Arabidopsis thaliana: one gene and its partner. The main gene of each other region encodes a partner of the protein of the gene in region 2 in a complex. Links are inferred from orthologs where the notes say so. Each region holds a gene or a part of one and is shown on either strand. Other genes may lie near its edges. The genes, in order: MAX2 and AT3G03990.

Region 1 (5,105 bases), on a different chromosome or scaffold from region 2:
GGAACTCCTGAGTGGATGGCTCCTGAACTTATCCGCAATGAACCCGTCACAGAAAAAAGCGACATCTTTAGCTTTGGTGTTATAATGTGGGAACTTAGCACTCTATCCAAGCCCTGGAAAGGAGTCCCAAAAGAAAAAGTATGTTCGTTGAACATGAAAAACACTTGGTAACTAAATAAAAACATCGAATCTAAACCCGGCTCTTGGTATTTTTGCTTTCAGGTCATTCATATCGTTGCAAACGAAGGAGCCCGGCTCAAAATACCTGAAGGACCACTACAGAAGCTTATTGCAGGTTTGTGACTCCTCGAAACCTAACTGTTGCTTCTTTTGGAACCCTTGCTATATTTTAGTAAACAGATGCTTATGGAAACTTTGTCTTGTTATAGATTGTTGGTCGGAACCAGAGCAAAGGCCGAGCTGTAAAGAGATACTGCACCGTCTTAAGACCTGCGAGATTCCGATTTGCTGATTCTGTGAGTTGTTTGTTCTTTCTGTGTGTAATATGTTGAGGCATTAGTTGTGAGAAACTCATTGAGTTTGTACTCCAGATCTCTCCGGCTTCTTCATTTGAGTTTTATCATTTATAAAAATGGATTATTGTTTTATGATATCATTAATCATCGCAAATTATAGTCTTTGTCCTTTCCTCTTACAAACATATACAAAACACTCTTGACCATACAAATAAAATGGACCAGTTTCTGAAGTCAATACAGATATAATAGTGTAGGTAACTCACTCTTCAAGTTTCAGTCAATGATGTTGCGGCTGTTCAATTGGTCCTCGAATCGGCTACACGAACCAACTCTCATCTCTGTGCTCATATCGTTCTCCGGCGCCGGATAATAGTCTGCTCTAAGCTGTACATCCCTTAAGTTTGGGATTCTCAACAAAAAGTTCATGAAATGCTCATGAGCTGTTCCATGGATGAACAGCTTCCTCAAAGTCAGGCACTCTTGTAACAGACCTGCTCCAGGAAGCGAGAGACTCCTCTGGTTAACATCTCTATCCTGTGGTGGCCAATAATCAAGCTCGCTCAAGCTCAAGCTTCCAATTCCGGTCAAGAAGAATCTTTCCCATAAACTCAAATCCATCTGCATTGGCGGTGCGGTCAGTGCGAAACCGATTGTGTCCCCGCAATCTAACTGCATCTTTGAGAGCTTTGGGTAGAGAGCGAGACAACTTAACCCAAACTCTGGCTCGGCTGGCCTGCGTTTACCTCTGCAATCTCCTTCTATCTTGATCCTAATCTCTTCCAAATTCGGACAGTCATCTAGTCCTGTCATAGGTAATGGCGTCAAAAATTCTCCAACATTGATCCATAAAGATAGATACTCCAGTTTCTCCCATACTCTATCTTCAGAACAGAATCCATTCACATCACTAGTTGAGCAGTGTTCTTCCTCGAATGAATACTTGCACCTCTTCTGGCTCCTCTCGTAACCATCATCCTCCTCTTCGTGGTCAGCCTCACTAGTTTCCACTCTTCCTTCTACCTCCTCGTCCTCTGAACCAGACCACACACAGTCTATATGCAGTCTCTTGATCCGATCACAAATCGGCTCAATTGCCTTTAAAGAAGCAGCTGTGTCAAGATTCTTGCAGCAAGAGATTCTCACATCAGTCAAAGTCTTACTCCGAAGACTAACCATTGTTCTTAGTCCATCCACTGTTACATTCTCACACCCTTGAATCTCAAACGTAGTCAACTTACAACATCCTCTCCCTATAGCCACCAAACCCATATCAGTCAAATCGCCGGAATTCTTAATCGACAACGACTGCAATCCTCCACATAAAGCCACACCGTCGAGCCTCCTCCATTCTGTAGCAGAGCAAACACCTTGGAACTGTCCTAGCTTCAATACTCTTAACTTCTTGCATTTAGAATTCAATGCCTCTAAAGCTACACCACTATGCTTCACATCCTTTCCTACGTCAAGAACCAGCTCCTCTAGATTCGGTAAACCTGAGAAAACTTCAATTAGCGTCCCCGCCGTGACAGCTGAATCTCCAGCTTCCGTACCTGGAATAGCTCTAGGATTCGCCAACGAAGCTGTGTCCACCATGTGTAGAAGCGTTAACTTAGGGGAACTGGTAGCTACGGCGGAGAGAGTCTCGTCTCCGACGAATTCAAAGTATCTCGGATCAAACGTACAAGCTACACGAAAAGTCTTCAAATTAGGGCAAGATTTGGTGATACTAACGATTTCGCTTGATTTGTATCCCTCGGTGAACGACGCCGTCAAGAGATCTAACCGTGTAAGCCTCGCCGCCACGTCAGCATAGCGGAGAAGCACAGGAGGTAAGTCTTCAGTCCAGTGATAGAAGTTGGAGAGATCTAAAGACTCAAGGAAACCACCACAGTGTTCAAAAATAGGAACAAAATCGCCACCGGTAGGGATCTGAGAAGCTCGTTGATGCCATCGGAGGAGCTTGATGTGGCGAATTCTCGGCCATTGAGGAAGTAGAAGCTCGAGAGAGCTCGGAGATCGTGTGTAGACGTTTAGAGACTCGACGAAAGGGAAACAGAATTTGAGACGGAGAGCGAGAAGGTTCTGGTGATCGATTGGGAGAGAAGCGAGAAGAGTGTGACCCCATGGGGAGAGGAAAGAGAGATCGAGATGTGAGATTGATCGGAAACAGTCGGGGACGAGGGAGAGATCACGAGCGTTGCCACGGATAGTGAGGTGAGAGCGAGTGGATCGTTCGAGAGCGAGGAATTTGTGAGAGACGAGGGAGAGAGAGTTGCGAGCTCGGGAATCGGATACGAGAGAGGAAATGGTGGATAAGATGACGTCAGGGAGGTCGGAGAGAGTAGTGGAAGCCATGAGAAGCGGCAAATCTACAAGAGAGGAGATTTTAGAAGAAGAAAGAGGGAAGAAGGAAGAAGAAGAGATTTGTGTTGGGCAGAGAGAGAGCCACGTGATGATACTGACATTCTTCTTCTCTCTTCTTTTATGTTTTTTTTCTTTTTAATATAGATAGTACTATAATTCTTTCCTTTTTTGAGGTAATTTGATTGAAAAATCATATGTATTTAAATGATTAAATCTAAATTATCTTTGAGGTTAATTATATAAGAACATACGATGTCAAAAAAAAAAAAAAAAAAAATAGAACATACATTCTTTAATTAAGCCTACAAAATATTCATCCTCAAATTGTACTTTATAAATCCTTACTTTATCAAAATACTCATAACCAATAGATAATGGGATTGTGTTGTCATTGGTCAAAAAGATTGTTATGCGTACTTATACGATGATATACTATTTTGGAGAAACCAAAATCATAGTTGCATACCCTTTTTTCTCTATGAATGTAAATATCATTATATCACTAATCAAAATGAAAGGTTTAGGATATACGAAGTTGCATGCTTGCATGTAATGTCCTGACTATTTCATTTCGTTCGTGTGTTCTCATCAGCTTTTAGTTGTAATCTATGCATGTACTTTGGTATGATAAAGAGAGATTTACACATTAACCGACTCAAAAGATTTCGAAACTTTGATCTTCGAATTTGGTAATTACGGGTACATGTATGCTTTACTGTACATGCAGTATGTGTCATAGTTACTTAAGCTCCTTTCAAATGTTTTACAAAAAATACCTTATCTTTAAAAAAATTGTATGAGATAATAGATTTGAATCATCGCCATTGTCACAAGTTGACCAATACTTCATTTGGTAGAGGCACAGCAAATTTTGTTTGTGAGATCATTCGTATTATTATGGAATCGCCGTAACTTGACAATTGTTCTTAATCATTAAACAAATATACATATTTGATATTATATAATCAAATTGCAAGAGTCAAAATCAACCTATCCCTCTCTCTCCCTTATGTTCCCACTTGAATTGCATATTTTTCCTGTAAAGAACAATCCACCTTTTTCCCGTGCATGCATCTAACATTTGTTTATGTCCCTCAAGAATAATACCAACCTTCTTTGTTGATAGACATGAGCTTTAATAGGAAAATAACTAAAACTAAACACAACTATTTTGCAAGATTTAGAATTCAATAACCTTAAAATATTAAGAAAACCCCCAATATTAAGTTACTGACTGCAACAAGAGATGAAGTCGGAATAAAACAGCATCAAAAACACTGATTTGTGTCATGTACAGAAATGTATTTAAACTGCAGATAATTTTACTATAAGATCAGGATCTAGATAAATCCCAAACCCATAACATATATGTAAGAATATCGAGTCTTTTCCAAATTCATAATTGGAATCACGTAAGAATGCATGCAACAACTAAAAGATAAGCTGAACTTCATTTCCATTTTAAGAGAAATATAGATCCAATACAGTGAATCGATTCAGTTCAAAGAGTATTTAATTAGATACGTTTCCCGCTTAATAAGCGGCGCTCAGTCATGTTACAAATTAAATAAAATATAGGTTTTGATTATTTCTCCAACGTAAATACAATTTATATTTTCAAAATAGTGTTTAACTTTTAAAAAGCTTAATGGATAACTCAGTGAGCATAATCACGAAAGCAATAGTGAGAAATTTGCAACTAAATTTTATTTTTCGTTTTTCTCTTTTTCCTTACAAAGTGAGAAATTTAAGATTTGTAGGGCATGCATTATCTCTTGCCTACTCATCTTGCCGGTCACAAAAACACATACACGCATACATATACATGTGATTACACATGCGTCAACATATAAACGCGACTATGTACTAAATATATTCAAATCCACTGACCTATACCATGTTTTTGTGCCCATGCTTATAGACTGGCTGAATTAACTTGGGCATATATTTGGTTAATGTAATACAATATTATCTTATCAAAGTGAATATAATTCAATGAACCATGTATACAATTCAACCGTTTCAAACTATTTAGAGGTCATGTCAAATGCATTAAAATATTTTCTAAAAATTTTACAGATTAATTTCTAGTTGATATAAATATTCAAAAACATCCATAAAGAATGATTTTAAATTATTAGAAAAAAGGAATAAGTTGTACAATTTGTACTTGCTAAACTAAAAGACGTCTCATGGTCCTGGATCAAAGGCACTTAGTTGTGAGTAGGGAATTGTGAAGGAAGATGTCTTGAGTGACACTTG
Region 2 (4,140 bases):
TATAATAAATGAGTTTCTTAAAATTAACCTGATAATGCGATCAAAAAGTTCTACTGACATGTCTGAGATAGTGGAATGATTAGGATCGGCTATAGCCGCTGAGTTAACCAAGATATGAACCGGCGACTCGAAGACTCGCTCTGCCTCATCGAAAAGCGACTTTACCTGGCTCGGCTCTGAGATATCAGCCTTCACCACAATGACACGTGGACTTTTGCCGGCGACTTCCGCGTCCTTTGAACAGTTGGTGGTAATCGCCGTGGCAACCTTCTCAGCCTCAACGGGGCTAGTTGAGTAATTAACGACGACCCTAGCCCCAAGCTCGGCAAGGTGGATGGCTATGGCACGACCTATTCCTCGAGAAGATCCTGTGACTATAGCTACTCGACCGGCGAGGCAAAGCGGTGGAGAAGAAACTGATGACGCTGCAGCCATACTGTTAGGTAGATTTTACTATAAATTTACTTTTCTATATTTAGGGTAGAAATGATGACAACGTGCTAAAAGAGTGTAAGCAAGCAATTTGTAGTGGTGATGGTTAGATTTGTCTTATGCTGTCAAATTCGTAAGCAAATTGAATTGCTGAAAATGTTTTTAGATTTGTCTTAACCTGTCAATTCGTATGCATTTTGAATTGCTCAAAAGTTTAGATTGATAGGACGTGTTTTCGTTGTGTGATTGTCTTCTAGAATTCACACACTCACTTTCTCAAATCTTAACTTGTATTATATATAGCACGGTAACAACATTATACAACTAACCAATTTTATTAACTTTAAAATTATTTAGAACACACATGCATAGTTGCATACTATAAAACTTAAATCAAGATTATGTCAGCCATAGTTGCTTCATTTTAGTTGTTGATACTTTTACGATGTGATGCTAGAATTTTCTAGTATACTTTATATCTTTTTGTCTCCATCATTTTATTAGAGAAAACAATCGAAAGTGTTGAGACTAAAGATTGTTGTTGCATCGATGTGTTGTTAGACGTCAATCAATACAAGGTCCAGGAACTTACAAGAAACAACAATATGGATAGAAATATTCAGAGGAAAGTAAAAGATAAGATAGGATTTTTTAATGTTTTTTTTGGTTATTCTCCAATTATTTTATGAAATAAACTTGTGATTATAAACTAATGAAGAGAGCAAGAAAAAAAGTGATAAAAAAGCGAAAGTCACGTGTCAAGTGAACAATCTTATCTTACTAGATTTGTGACAATGCCAAACTGTCCTCCACAAATAGAGGCCCTTCTTTTCTTCGATACGTGGACCCCACTAAACCCATATTCCACCAATTATATTTTATTGTTCTCTTTTTATATCTATAAAAAAAAGTCACCGAGGAAGAGCTCGCCGGAGAAACTGAGCAAGCTGCGCCGGAGCACTAAGCTGCGGCAAATGTCCTTCAGTTTTAAGAGTCTCCACAGTAGTATCTCCACCGAGATGAGACCTAAGATACTCCGCCACCGAAGCCGGCACAGAAACATCCTTCGCCGTCTGAATCACACACGTCGGAACTCTAACTAACCCAAGCACACCTCTCAGATCGCTGTTGAAAACCGTCCTCGAAACAAACAGAGATATATCCGGACGCATATTAAACAAAGTCCGGCTAAATTCTCTAACCGCCGCCGGAACATCAGCTCCAACAGCAAGCGGAGCAAATCCATGAACCCAAGCTTCGTAATTAGCTTCCATAGCTGAGAAAACTTTCTCAATCTCACCTTCTTCGAATCCTCCATGATAATCCTCGTCGTTGAGAAACCTAGGCGAAAATCCGATCAAGATAAGCTTGGAGAAAAGCTCCGGCCGACGAATCGAAGCGATGATTCCGATCATAGCGGAAACAGAGTGACCAACGTAAGCACAGTTTTGGATTCCGAGTGAATCAACGATGTTGAGAAGATCATCGACGTAAGGATCGAGAGTTGTGTAACGATTGAAATCGAAGTAATCGGGGTTGACACTGCCGGCGCAAACTAGGTCATAGAGGACGACTCTGTAGTTTTGAGTGAAGTAAGGAAGGATCAAGTGCCAAGCTGATTGGTCAGTACCGAATCCATGGGCCAAAAACAGGATCCGATCACCCGTACCCACGACCCGGACATTTAGAGCTTCTAAGATGTTGTGTTGACTCATTTTTTTATGTGTTTGGGTTTGAGGGTAAAGAAGAGAGTTGGATACTGTTTATATAAAAACTTGTTTGGGTAGGTGTGTGTGTGTAATGAAAATTCCTTTATCATCTTTTTTTTTCCACTGCATTTATTATTATTATTATCCAATACTTTCGATTGGCTTTTGAAGTTTATGGATACAAGAGCATGCGTTGATTATTCGTCACACATCTGATATATTTTAAGAGATTTAAGATGCTTCAAGGATATTGTTTTTAGACTTTTAGGTGTTGTTGCACTTGCCATATTCTTAAACCATTTTTTTATTCTGTAGTTGTATTTCAACAAACGACGTTTATCCCAAAGATTATTCGAATGGTGGGTGATGATAAATTGAATTATATAAAACATAAAGTGGTTCCAATGAATGTGTCAGTACGAAGACACGAGTTTGTAAATTAAACATAAGGTTTTTAAGAAATTCAAAAGTTAGATGTCGACGACAACAACAAAAGGATGTCGACAAAAAAAGAAGAAGAAATTTGGATATATTTTTTTGGACATAGGTGAGTCACGAGTGTTTTATTAAGATGGTTAAGACATTTATTTTCAACCTCAGTGTTTATTATTATTATTATTCCAATTGAACCCAATGTTTTATTTCTAACAAGTTAACCCCTACATTTGCTTCTCAAGGTATCAGGAAGAGGCTCCTCTCAAGACGAACTCTTTTATACATATCCACCATTAACAGGAATGATTTGACCATTGACCCATTCACCACCGTCACCAGCCAAGAATCCAACAAGAGGCACCACGTCTTTGGCTTCGCCGACCCTCCCAAAGGGAGACTCTGCGGCTATCTTTTCCACCAACTCTGGGGTCTTTCCATCAAAGAACATCTCAGTGGCGATGGGTCCTGGAGCAACACAGTTTGCAGTGATTCCTGTTCCTTTGAGCTCTTTTGCAAGAATCTTGACCATAGTTTCCACAGCTGCCTTTGATGCGGCATAGGCACCAAACCCTGGCTTTAAAGATCGAGTCTGGGAAGATGTCAGAAGTATGATCCGACCACCACCTCCTTGTTTTAGCCTATTGGCAGCTTCCTTGCTACACAGGAACGCTCCTTTTGTGTTGACACTACACTCCATTTTAAAAGAAACAAACAGAGGATTATTGGAAACAAGAATGAAGGAACTTTAGTTGGAAATTAGACATACAAATCTCACGAACATGGAACATTGGATGAAACAAGAAACATAAGTCGATTAATTAGCCACAAGAACACGAGACATGTTGCATTTGACTCATAATTAGACATACAAATCTAAAGAACACGGAACATATAATTTCATGGTTCATGGAGAGTGAACAAGAACACAGATTCCACTAAAATCTCAGTTGAAATATACTAAAGGAATCAGCTTTCTAACTCAAAATCATAGAACATGTAACAATTGATCAAGAACTTATACATAATCATCAACCTAACTAATTAACAAAAAAAAGTTTACTTTTCCAGTATTGAGCGGGAAGACAAGAACCCAATCAATGAAGATAAATTCTCTAAAGGAATCAGCTTTCTATAACGAACCCAATCAACGAACAGTATCGAGTATATACCTGAACGTATGATCGAAATCTTCGACTGATGTGTCTGCGATCGTAGGGTACTTTGGATCGAGAATCCCAGCAGAGTTAACCAGAATGTGAACCGGCGCTTCAAAGGCACTCTCCGCCGCATCAAACATTGATTTAACCTGGCTTGGCTCAGAGACATTGGCCTGAACCACAATAGCTCTTGGTCCCTTTCCAGTGATTTCTTCCCTAACTGGAAAATCATTGATCTCCGACGCGACACGCTCGGCGTCTGCGGCTTTAGAGGTGTAGTTGATAACAATCCTCGCACCGAGTTCAGCTAAGTGGATCGCTATCGCTCGGCCAATACCACGGGAAGAGCCGGTGACAATGGCGACTCTTCCGGCGAGAGGAAGCGGCGGTTGCGAGATTGATGAATG

What was found.
Region 1: the proteins of AT3G03990 (region 2) and MAX2 are in contact, whole or in part, in a cryo-EM structure (PDB 8IF6), measured with the Oryza sativa proteins. The link is inferred for Arabidopsis thaliana from one-to-one orthologs. Residues at the interface, in NP_001404251.1 of Oryza sativa: Asn61, Arg63, Gly66, Ser67, Asp81, Ser83, Leu89, Arg97, Gly107, Ser108, Pro111, Ala135, Arg137, Pro211, Asp217, Pro219, Ala220, Val222, Gln223, Ser226, Arg227, Asn231; in NP_001411525.1 of Oryza sativa: Gly109, Gly110, Ser113, Ser115, Ser116, Ser118, Tyr596, Ala597, Leu598, Thr599, Pro601, Asp634, Asp636, Val637, His666, His668, Leu696, Met697, Thr699, Arg702.

What each region holds. Positions count from the first base shown.
Region 1 is NC_003071.7:17,753,899-17,759,003, reverse strand, and holds MAX2 (RNI-like superfamily protein), read right to left. Parts: upstream 2,936-5,105; 5' UTR 2,835-2,935; coding exon 753-2,834; 3' UTR 536-752; downstream 1-535. Other genes in the region: AT2G42640 (Mitogen activated protein kinase kinase kinase-like protein), read left to right, coding at 1-138, 223-295, 390-472. UniProt on the Arabidopsis thaliana protein: Component of SCF(ASK-cullin-F-box) E3 ubiquitin ligase complexes, which may mediate the ubiquitination and subsequent proteasomal degradation of target proteins. Promotes the senescence. Is necessary for responses to strigolactones and karrikins.
Region 2 is NC_003074.8:1,031,795-1,035,934, reverse strand, and holds AT3G03990 (alpha/beta-Hydrolases superfamily protein), read right to left. Parts: upstream 2,357-4,140; 5' UTR 2,148-2,356; coding exon 1,344-2,147; 3' UTR 698-1,343; downstream 1-697. Other genes in the region: AT3G04000 (NAD(P)-binding Rossmann-fold superfamily protein), read right to left, coding at 29-435; AT3G03980 (NAD(P)-binding Rossmann-fold superfamily protein), read right to left, coding at 2,854-3,262, 3,746-4,140. UniProt on the Arabidopsis thaliana protein: Involved in strigolactone signaling pathway. Does not move long distances acropetally in the plant to regulate shoot branching and is rapidly degraded in the presence of strigolactones.